Drosophila melanogaster: one gene and its partner. The protein of the gene in region 2 interacts with the protein of the main gene of each other region in a pairwise test. Each region holds a gene or a part of one and is shown on either strand. Other genes may lie near its edges.

Region 1 (4,638 bases), 5.7 Mb from region 2:
CACCTTTCCCGTGGACGTGATGTTCAGCAAGAACACCTGCGAGGATTACGTGGAATCGGCGGTGAAGCAAGCGTTGCAGGTTCACCTCACGCCCAACGAGGGCGACATGCTCATCTTCATGCCCGGCCAGGAGGACATCGAGGTGACGTGCGAGGTGCTCGAGGAGCGACTGGCGGAGATCGATAATGCGCCGGCACTAAGCATACTGCCCATCTATTCGCAATTGCCGTCCGATTTGCAAGCAAAGATCTTTCAGAAATCCAGCGATGGATTGCGCAAGTGTGTGGTGGCCACGAACATAGCGGAAACATCGCTAACCGTCGACGGCATCATCTACGTTATCGATTCCGGCTACTGCAAACTGAAGGTCTACAATCCGCGCATCGGCATGGACGCCCTGCAGATCTATCCCATATCGCAGGCGAATGCCAATCAGCGCAGCGGTCGTGCCGGACGCACAGGACCCGGTCAGGCGTACCGCTTGTATACGCAGCGCCAGTACAAGGACGAGCTGTTGGCCCTAACCGTGCCCGAGATTCAGCGGACCAATCTGGCCAATACGGTGCTGTTGCTCAAGTCACTGGGCGTCGTCGATCTGCTGCAATTCCACTTTATGGATCCACCGCCGCAGGATAACATTCTTAACTCGCTGTACCAGTTGTGGATCCTGGGAGCACTGGACCACACTGGTGCGCTGACCACACTGGGTCGCCAGATGGCCGAATTCCCGTTGGATCCGCCCCAGTGCCAGATGCTAATCGTGGCCTGCCGCATGGGCTGCAGTGCCGAGGTGCTGATCATAGTTTCCATGTTGTCCGTGCCATCGATCTTCTACCGGCCAAAGGGCCGCGAGGATGAGGCGGATGGTGTGCGCGAAAAGTTCCAAAGGCCCGAGTCCGATCACCTGACCTACCTCAACGTTTATCAGCAGTGGCGCCAGAACAAGTAAGTCCTACAATTGCGGCAAATCTCCGCCAGAAATGAACAACTCGTTGCTTTCGCCCACAGTTACAGTTCGACCTGGTGCAACGAACATTTTATCCACATCAAGGCGATGCGGAAGGTGCGCGAGGTGCGGCAGCAGCTTAAGGACATCATGACGCAACAGAATCTGAGCGTTATAAGCTGCGGCATCGACTGGGACATTGTGAGGAAGTGCATCTGCTCGGCATACTTCTACCAGGCGGCCAGGCTCAAGGGTATCGGAGAGTATGTCAATCTGCGAACTGGCATGCCATGCCACCTGCATCCCACGTCCGCGCTGTATGGCTTGGGCACCACGCCCGACTATGTCGTCTATCACGAGCTGATCATGACCGCCAAGGAGTATATGCAGTGCGCCACCGCTGTCGATGGCTACTGGCTGGCGGAATTGGGTCCCATGTTCTTTTCGGTTAAGGAGTCCGGTCGCAGCGGGCGCGAGAAGAAGAAACAGGCGGCCGAGCATCTCAAGGAGATGGAGGAGCAGATGCTGAAGGCGCAGCACGAGATGGAGGAGCGCAAGCAGCAGGCCGCCGAACGGGAGGAACAGCTGGCCACCAAGCAGGAGATCGCCACACCGGGCAATGCCACGCCCCGACGCACGCCGGCCAGGATTGGCCTTTGAGCAGATGCAGATACAGATACAAATATCCGTGTGAAGCGTGTGTTCAATGTATTAATTTAAGTTTAACAAGTTTTTTTGCTACATCCTAATAAAGAATCATTGTGAACTGGATACAAAGGAAGGCCACAAAGCCTCTTAGTTGATAATTCGTTGCGGAGTTCTCCACAAAAACGCACTTGTTGTCCTCCAGTCGATGGGTCTTACTGCAGGAGCACTCGCCCCAATTGCACACCATGGGATGGCCAATGGATGCTGTGGCATTCTCCTGGTCCATGGGCTGCATCCGGCATTCGCTATCGTTTCGACAGAGTGCCCCGAACGGCACGATGGGTGCGCAAGTGATCCGCTCCAGATTGTTCACCGCATCGAGATCGTCGTTTTCGTCCTTGGCCACCTCGTTGGCTACCCTTTTGGGGTAGTGGGTCGAACGGCAGACGCAGAGGTGATCCAGGCACCTGCCATCGGCACCCAGGTTTAGCTTGCACGGCGAACTGTGCTCGCACGTGTCACCGTAAGCGGAGCCCTTGATGCACTTGGTCATGTTGTGGTTGTGCACAAAGTTTTTGGAGCAGCCGCACCGCTTCGTCTTTGTCAGGCAAATCGAGGCTCCACAGCTGCCGCAATCCTTGTCCTCTAGACAGCTTGATTCTAAGGTAAATACAGAGGTGGAATTTCATGTAAATTATGCTATTTCTGCCAGTGTACTCACGCAAAACAGAAAGACAACGTCCCTCGTGGAACTCGAATTGGTTAAGGCAGAGGCACTGGTTGCCAATGCAGGAGCTAAACCGATCCGCCCGCTGGCACTGTTGCTGAAACTCACAGCTTCCGCCCACCGGGACCACCGCCGGCAGGCAGCGTCTGCGGTCGTCACTGGACACATGACCCTCGGAGCAGTGGCACTGCTGCCATCGCGTGTGGCATATGGCATTCGGCATGGGACATGGACAGGCACCACCAATGATGTTGGTCAGCTTGAGGCGCTCCTCCAGCGGCGTACACGGCACCCGTTCGCCGGAGCCACGTGCTGTGCAGATGCAGGCCATGTCCACGCAGCGACCGCGCTCAAACTGGGCGCACTGTGCGTCCGAGCTGCAGGACAACTCCAGCAGATCCTCCGCCCGACCAGTCGCTAGAAATCCGGCCAGCAGCAGTAGGATCCACCTGTGCATCGCTAGCATGTTTCTCAGTTCACTTGGGTTGCTCCACTTCGTTCGACTGGAGAAAACCAGTACCGTTACTTGCGGACTGCCAGAAAAGCTCAATTTAAAACTGTCCATTGGTTAGTGCTGCTAATTTATCCTTTTTTGTTTAAGACAACAGATCTCTTTTTATACACCTCAGTCAAAATGTACCTTAATTACTTAATGGTTAACATTAAAATTCAATTTTGTGTTCGTTACTTGACCAACTATTAAATAATATTTAAAAACTTTGACCAGGGCCTAAACAAAAGTTACCATCTGATATAAGCATTTGCTCACCTGCTCAATATGAAGAGATTTTTTGCTCCAAGATAAATTCAAGCGATGAGTTATTTAATTATTCCAAATTACTTATCTACTTTAAAAAAATTTTAAATTCCGATAGTTTTAAAGCTCATCAAAACCATTTAGCGCTACAAGCTCACAGTCTGGCAACCTTTCACCTCGTCGACGATCCGGCAACGCTAGAAAAACGCGAGCCGCCTGAAAAGCAAGGCAAATTACAAAACACCATGTCTTTCAGTAATTTGTTAATGAAAAGTGGCCTAACTGTGGCCGTGCGTGATGCGCAGGCCGCCGTCCTGATGACTGCCACACGGCAAGGACACACCATACGCGGCAAGCCGCCCGGCGTGGCCCGTTCTCTGGAGCAGCGGATTCGTGGTAAGTTGATGTAACCACTCGGGATCACTTTTCGGCCCACAAACCAGCGTATCATCGATGTCTTTCCGCAGAGGAGAACGTTGAGGATCCGGAGGTGGTGGCCCGCATCAACATTGGCTTCCCGCAGCTGAAGGAGTCGCGCTCGGCGCAGCTAAAGAAGCGACTGGAGCACCTGAAGTCCCAGCGCAGTGACAAGCAGCTGGAGCAGCTGGCGCGGAGCAACAAGCGTGAGTAGCGATCCTGGGGACTATTGATGTATATGTGCTCATTGCTGTTTATTTGTCTATCCACAGTGATCATCGATTTGGACAAGGTGCAGCGCACCTATGTGAAGACCACGGGCCAGCATGATCTTCGCCTGGTGGCGGACCACTACGGCATCTTCGAGCACCTCTTTGGCAGCGCCTACTTTGTGCCCCGCGTGCCGCTCAACATAAGCTACCAACTGGACGGCGATAGCCTGGCACCCGTCTACAATGGCAACGTTATCAAGCCGACGGAGGCAGCCAAGGCGCCTCAGATCGATTTCGATGGCCTAGTGGATCCCATTACGGGACAAGCCGCCGGCCAGGACACTTACTGGACCCTGGTGGCCAGCAATCCCGATGCGCACTACACAAATGGAACTGCCGAGTGTCTGCATTGGTTCATGTAAGTTTCGTTTTGTTACGCATCATCCTATGCTAATTCATCCCTATTCTTCCAGTGCCAACATACCCAACGGCAAGGTGAGCGAGGGTCAGGTTCTCGCCGAGTATCTACCGCCGTTCCCGCCGCGCGGCGTTGGTTACCAACGCATGGTCTTTGTGCTCTACAAACAGCAGGCGCGCCTTGATCTCGGCTCTTATCAGTTGGCTGCTGCCGACTACGGTAATCTGGAGAAGCGCACCTTCAGCACCCTGGACTTCTATCGTCAGCACCAGGAGCAACTGACGCCGGCTGGCCTGGCCTTCTATCAGACCAACTGGGACGAGTCATTGACGCAGTTCTACCACGATGTCTTGAGTAAGTAGAAACGTACATAGTTCTACCAGCAATCCGTAGCTCATACTAATGCTGGTCATCTGTCGCGCAGAGATCAAAGAGCCCGTTTATGAGTACGACTTCCCCAAGCCGTACCTGACCGACCAGAAGTTCTTCCCGCTGAAGCAGCCCTTCAATTTG
Region 2 (5,885 bases):
TCGCAAAAAAAAATATTTGAACTTGAAACCGATTTGTTTTGGCTCGCTTTAATAATTCTGTTTAGTTGGTTATTTTATTAATGCTCTCAATTTATTTCTGCTTACAGACTGAAATCTCTGTGCAAAGGTATCGCATTTTTATGCTGAATTTTCAAACTGCCAAATGGGCGGCACTGGGCGACCTAAATTGCGATTCCACCTGTCATCAGCCGAGCTCTTCTTTGCCTTACCTATCATTATAGCCGATTTTGCCGCCCGTTTGTTATTGAACAATTGCGTGGGATGCCATTGGCATAACGCACAACAATGGGGAAGGACAACCAAACGATGTGTGTAATGACAGCCTGCGTTTCGGATTTATTGTATTTATTATATGCGACACTTGTTGCTGCGAATAAAGTTGCGGGTAAGTCAGTTCTCCCATCATTAAATCGATTCTCATCATATGCACTTTGTGTAACAATAATTATATAATAATATCAATGATATTACTCACTGTCTATGCTATAAGTGTATCAAGTTTAAAATGAGTCGCAAGACTATCAATAACTATCAATTAGAGTATATATCTAATGATAGTTTAATTTAAATATAACTAGCATCTAGATTTCACCCTTCATCGAAAACAACATTCAGCTTGGGTATAATTGTTTTTTTTTTTTTGTTCAAATTTTTTATTTGTTTTGCAAAGAAACCTGAGTGCCACGCCCCTCCTGGGCCGTTGAATGGGTGAGTGGGTGGTATTGGGGTGTGCATGAGTGGGCGTGGGCGTAGGCATGGGCGTTGGTCGATCAGGCTGTTTTTTTTTTTTTTTTTTGTAAAAAAAACATAGTAACTAATCAGCCGGATAAGCGAATGACTAAACCAGCCGCTTCAGTTGATTCCGGAGCCGCAGCAGTCATCCAATCCGTAACTCCTCCGCATCTGTTACCTAATAGGCGGGAGCAGCATAGCCGCCATGTCCGGCTGGACCGGCGCTATAGTGCTGATGGCTTGGAGCGGGACCATAGGGACCCTCACGCTCGCCGGCGATGTTGGCAAGAGCGGACAGACCCTGGTTGCCGCTCTGGAGCAGCTGATAGCCAGCGCTGGCGGCAGCGGAATCAGCTCCCGAAGCGTAGGCGGGCAGAGCACGGCCACCGTCATGGGGTCCAGGACCATGGGGTCCAGCACCGTGTCCACCGTGTCCGTGTCCGCTGTGTCCGTGTCCATGGCCACCGTGTCCATGGCCGTGTCCGTGGGACTGCGAGCCCTGTCCGTAGCCCTGCTTGTTCTCGTTGACAAAGTACTTCTCTGCTGGGGGCTTGACCACATTGACGAACACGGGCTCAACCTTGACGCGACGTGGGTGGTGCTTGACGTAGACCTTGCGGAGAACGATTGCTGGGGGCTTGTGGAGCACCACGGGAGCGGGCTTAACCACCAATGGTGGATGGTTCACCAGCACCTTGGTGGGCGGACGCTTGACAATGATGGGAGCGGGACGATGGATGAGGATCTCGCCCTTGTTCTGCGGGTAGGTGATCGATGAGGTCAGGGTGTTACCCTTGGTGTTCACCGGCTTGTACGGAATGTTCTGGTCGGATCCGTAGCTGCTCTGGCCAGCCTGTGCCACACCGGCGGCATCGGCTCCGGATTCGAGAGCACCAGCACCGGCGTTAGCACCACCGTACTCGCCACCAGCTCCACCGGCACCGCCGGCAGCTGCTGCGGCCGCTGAAGCGGCATCAGCACCGCCATCGGAGGCACCGCTTCCGGACTCGGGTCCATAGCCCTGGGAACTGCCGTAGTTGGCGCTTGCACAGGCCTAAAAGTAAATTGAGGGGGGGGGGGTGGATTAGAATTGGATCGACATATACATATACTTAAAATAAGTCTAGCATCGATAGATAGCTTGATTCCGTTTCAAGTAATTTAAAGGAAAGTCAATTTGCTTTTCATGTACGATTTACATGGCACAAACGAAAGCAGTCAGAATTGATAGACTTGGTTTTCTTGGGATTAATCCTAAGATTTCGAGCTTGAACACTTACGATCAGGCAGGCGGCCAGCGCCCAAATGTAGGTCGATCTCGTCATCTTGTCTCCCAGTTGCAGTTCCAGTTGCTCTTCGGCTTCTGGTGTGCTCCCGCTTGGACTGTCTGCTGTCTTCTGCTGCCCTCCATTGGTGGCCGACTACTTTAAATATGCTCCGGACGCGTCTCCGGCTCCGGGTACGTGACATTTGGATTGATGCCAACTCCGGTGCCGGCTGTTCCGCTCCGGGCCCACGCGATGCGAACGAAACATGGCCAAATGTTGATAGATCGCACGCATCGCTGCCAGCGCATATCACGGCGTCTCTTCCACTTACGTAGAAGCCACAACCCGAAAACCCCACTGCCCACTGCCCAGTTGCCATTGCCCGTTTTACAATAACAACGAACACATTGCCACCGAATCGGAATCAACAGCCGGGCTGTGAATCTTTGCCGCATATCGAGGTCCGAACGTCTGTTCAGATAGCGAAAATAGTTCCGCATTGGCAGACACAAGACTCCGGGAGTCGGAATAAGAGGTAATCCGAGGTGTAAGTGGATAGGGGGAAATGATTAGCCACCCAGCTGTAGTCCTTGAATTTCACACGGATTGCGCAGATTCGATTGTCTTTCTATTGTATTGTATTGTATTGTATTGTATTGTATTGTATTGTATTGTATTTCTTACTATAAATGTGATTAGATTGTTAGAAGAGTGGCTATCTTCACATGACCATTTTTAATTTAGAAAATCCATGTAACTGATTAAACCATCAGTTTAAAGTACCATATAAAAATGTATACTTAATAATTGCCAGATAAAATAAATCTCTAGTTGCAAAGAGATTTGAAGATGAAATATGGATCTTTAGCTATTCCAATTAGGAATTCAAAGGCTTACAAACACCTAAAAAGATTTCCAATTCTTCAATTATTATGTTGTTATGTTTTAAAACAATCTTATGAAACTCTAATATGAATTTGGCGTTTCAAAAGAAAAGGTTTAAATACGTATTTAATGCATTAAAAGTGCTATATTCTTTGTTTAAAAGAAAAGAGGCCGTAAAATTATAGTTGCTCCATTAATTCATAGTTATGTTATTATTTATTATTCATTCCGGAATCAACAATATGTTGATAAAGATGACCTTTTGATCCCATTCTTTGCAATTAAACGATAACTGGAATAAGATAGCTACCATCACAAGAGTGTGAAATAATTTCATGCATGATAATGCTATCCAATATCTTTCGAATTGTATCTCATAAAATGCGTACCATGTTTATGCATATTTATAGAATAGTTAAAATACTTGTATGACCGTAGAGATTTCAATTACAAACTTATTTATACTCGTTCATAATTTTATGTTCATACTTTATACCATTTTCCCCTTTATTATTTATTTTTGAAGAAAACTAGATATAATTTTTTGTTCTCTCATGCATTCGTATATATTTATATATTCATAAATATGTGCTTAATCTGTGTGCTTCATTGCCACTCAGGTAGCCCCTTCCGGTCGAAAATAATTGATGACAAAACGTTTACGTTTCAAGTATTTTTTTTTCATTTATTTGCGCTCAGTAGTTCGGCAAAGAAAAAAAAAAACAAAAATTTAAATTAAACCAGCTGTCGCAGCTGAGGAGCAACCCATGCCCAGGATGAGCACCTTAGTAGTTGGGCTGGCCATAGGGCGCGGGGCTGTTGTACAGTGGAGCCTCGTTGCCGTAGGCATTGCCATCGGCAGAGGAGGCGGCACCGGCGGCGGAGGAAGCAGCTCCGGCACTACCATAACCCTGGGGCTGGCTGTACTCCCTGGGCTGGCTGTAGACGGGTGCAACCACCGGGGCCAGTGGAGCCTCGATCTTCTTGCCGGGCTTGTAGACCTTCACGTAGACGGGGTTGAGGCTCAGCGGAGTGGGCACCTTGTTGATCACCTCCTGTTGGTAGATGACCGAGGGCTTGATCTTGTAGATCACCGGATTGCCGCGCACCACAGTCGGTGGGCCGCTGTTCACATGGGCTGGTGGTGCACCAGGCTGGTGGACAATGATTGGTGGCAGGGGCTGGGTGGCGATCACCTGGTGATTGTTGTGGCCCGATGGCACCAACAGGGAGCGGAACAGATGCTGGTCAACGAACTGTGGCGACACCACCTTGATCTTGCCCTGACGGATATTGCTGGCCAGATTGGTCTCGGCCAGAGATTCGGCAATATCCTCGGAGTTCTTCAGCTTCTGGTAGTTGGGATCGGCATTGAGGGCCTGAAGTTGGGCCTGGACGCGACCCAAACGACGGGCCTCCTCCGGCGTGGGCTGGATCTCGGCCTGTGAGGCGATCTGATTGGCAGCCTGCTGGTTGCCACCAGACGCCACATTCACGTACTCCTCGAGTCCGGCATTGGGACCGGACAGGTACTGTCCATGTCCATGTCCGTGTCCGTGTCCGCCAGCGGGACCATAGTTAGCGCTCACCAGCTAATGAGGAGGAGGTAAGAGAGAGAGAGAGAGAGTTTGCGAGATTAGCGGGATGCCCAATGCGAATGCCATGGATAAAAGCTACTAACCGGCGTGGCGGCGATGGCCAAAATGCCAAACCAGAGACCGAGTTGCATGTTGCCGTTTACGTGTGGATCGTCTACTGCTCGCTGTCTGGCGATGACTCCGGCTCTTTATAGCGCCTATAATCGCTGCCCGCCATGGCCGGCTACGTGATCCATCTCCATTTCCGATTTTGCGCCGCATCTTTGTCTCGCCATCGTGCCCAGATCTCTAGACAACCAACCTCCTATGCACCTATGCACCGTGGTGCACCACTCTGCTTTCCGCTCGTCGCAATCTTCTATTTTTTGGCAGTTGTTTCCCTTGGCTTGAATCATAGCTCTTCCAAAGATCGAATATGATGCCAACGCTACGAGAGTCTCGTTTTGGTTGCCTTGTTGCGATGATTACAGCTGTGCTGCAATCTCTCTGCAATCCTTTGGGTTTGAAGTTAATATCCTTTATATGTTTTTACATTGCATTTTAACTTGGGACTTATACTGAAATGTGTACATAAACATGCCCTGCAGCAATGTTTTTTTTTAATCACCCAAATTTAAAGATGTTATCTATAAACTGATAAATATCTTACGCTCGAGATATATGAATAGATAATTTTTGTAAAAATTTCCGAGAAAGATATACCATGTAAACCATATTAGCAGATTATATTAGATATATAAGTACATTTATAACCGCATTCAATTCGATGCAGTTTTAAGCTTTAAGTTTGTGTTTATTAGCCATATAATTAAATTCAAAGGTATTAAAGACATTTAAGTTATTCCTCTTAAAAGGCATCTTTATTTTTAAAAATAAAATGCAACATTCTTATATTTTATGATTTTCGGTGGATTGTTTCGTCTCAATGTGAAATACAGTATCTTATATTTAAATCATTTGTTATACCTAAACTTATATAAACATTGTTACTAAAAACCTGAGCAATGAAAGTTAAATTGTTGATTCAATTTAAACTTGTAGAGTAGTGTATTATGAGTCACTGAAATTTTTTTCTTGATAAGCTCTTAATTCAATTCAAACACAACAAATTTTTGTATATATATATATTTTTTTTGTATTAATTTTATTATTTTTTTTAATAATTTCCTTAATCTCAGTGTTTGTGTAGTTCGTGTTGTGTGTAATGTGTTGGCGTGTGTGTATGTGTGGTGTGTGGTGTATGGTGTGGCTCAGTCCCATTTATAGAACTCAATGGTCTGGAGACCGCAAGTCTTTGGTTTGACGTGGACATGGATTTAGCTTCTAGAGACCCCGCTTATAAAGAAGGTAGGTGAGATCTCGTGCTGGTCGACTGCCGTAG

The links. Proteins that work in one complex are often made in the same cells at the same time.
Region 1: the proteins of Cp38 (region 2) and CG11674 interact in a two-hybrid assay, tested with the Drosophila melanogaster proteins (one large-scale study listed by BioGRID).

The regions. Positions count from the first base shown.
Region 1 is NC_004354.4:14,223,017-14,227,654, forward strand, and holds CG11674 (uncharacterized protein), read right to left. Parts: upstream 2,864-4,638; 5' UTR 2,788-2,863; coding exon 2,316-2,787; intron 2,255-2,315; coding exon 1,692-2,254; 3' UTR 1,631-1,691; downstream 1-1,630. Other genes in the region: Prp16 (pre-mRNA processing factor 16), read left to right, coding at 1-945, 1,009-1,606; mRpL38 (mitochondrial ribosomal protein L38), read left to right, coding at 3,324-3,474, 3,546-3,701, 3,768-4,125, 4,181-4,479, 4,550-4,638.
Region 2 is NC_004354.4:8,478,107-8,483,991, reverse strand, and holds Cp38 (chorion protein 38), read right to left. Parts: upstream 2,156-5,885; 5' UTR 2,079-2,155; coding exon 2,034-2,078; intron 1,808-2,033; coding exon 932-1,807; 3' UTR 681-931; downstream 1-680. Other genes in the region: Cp36 (chorion protein 36), read right to left, coding at 3,692-4,498, 4,588-4,635; Cp7Fc (chorion protein c at 7F), read right to left, coding at 5,828-5,885.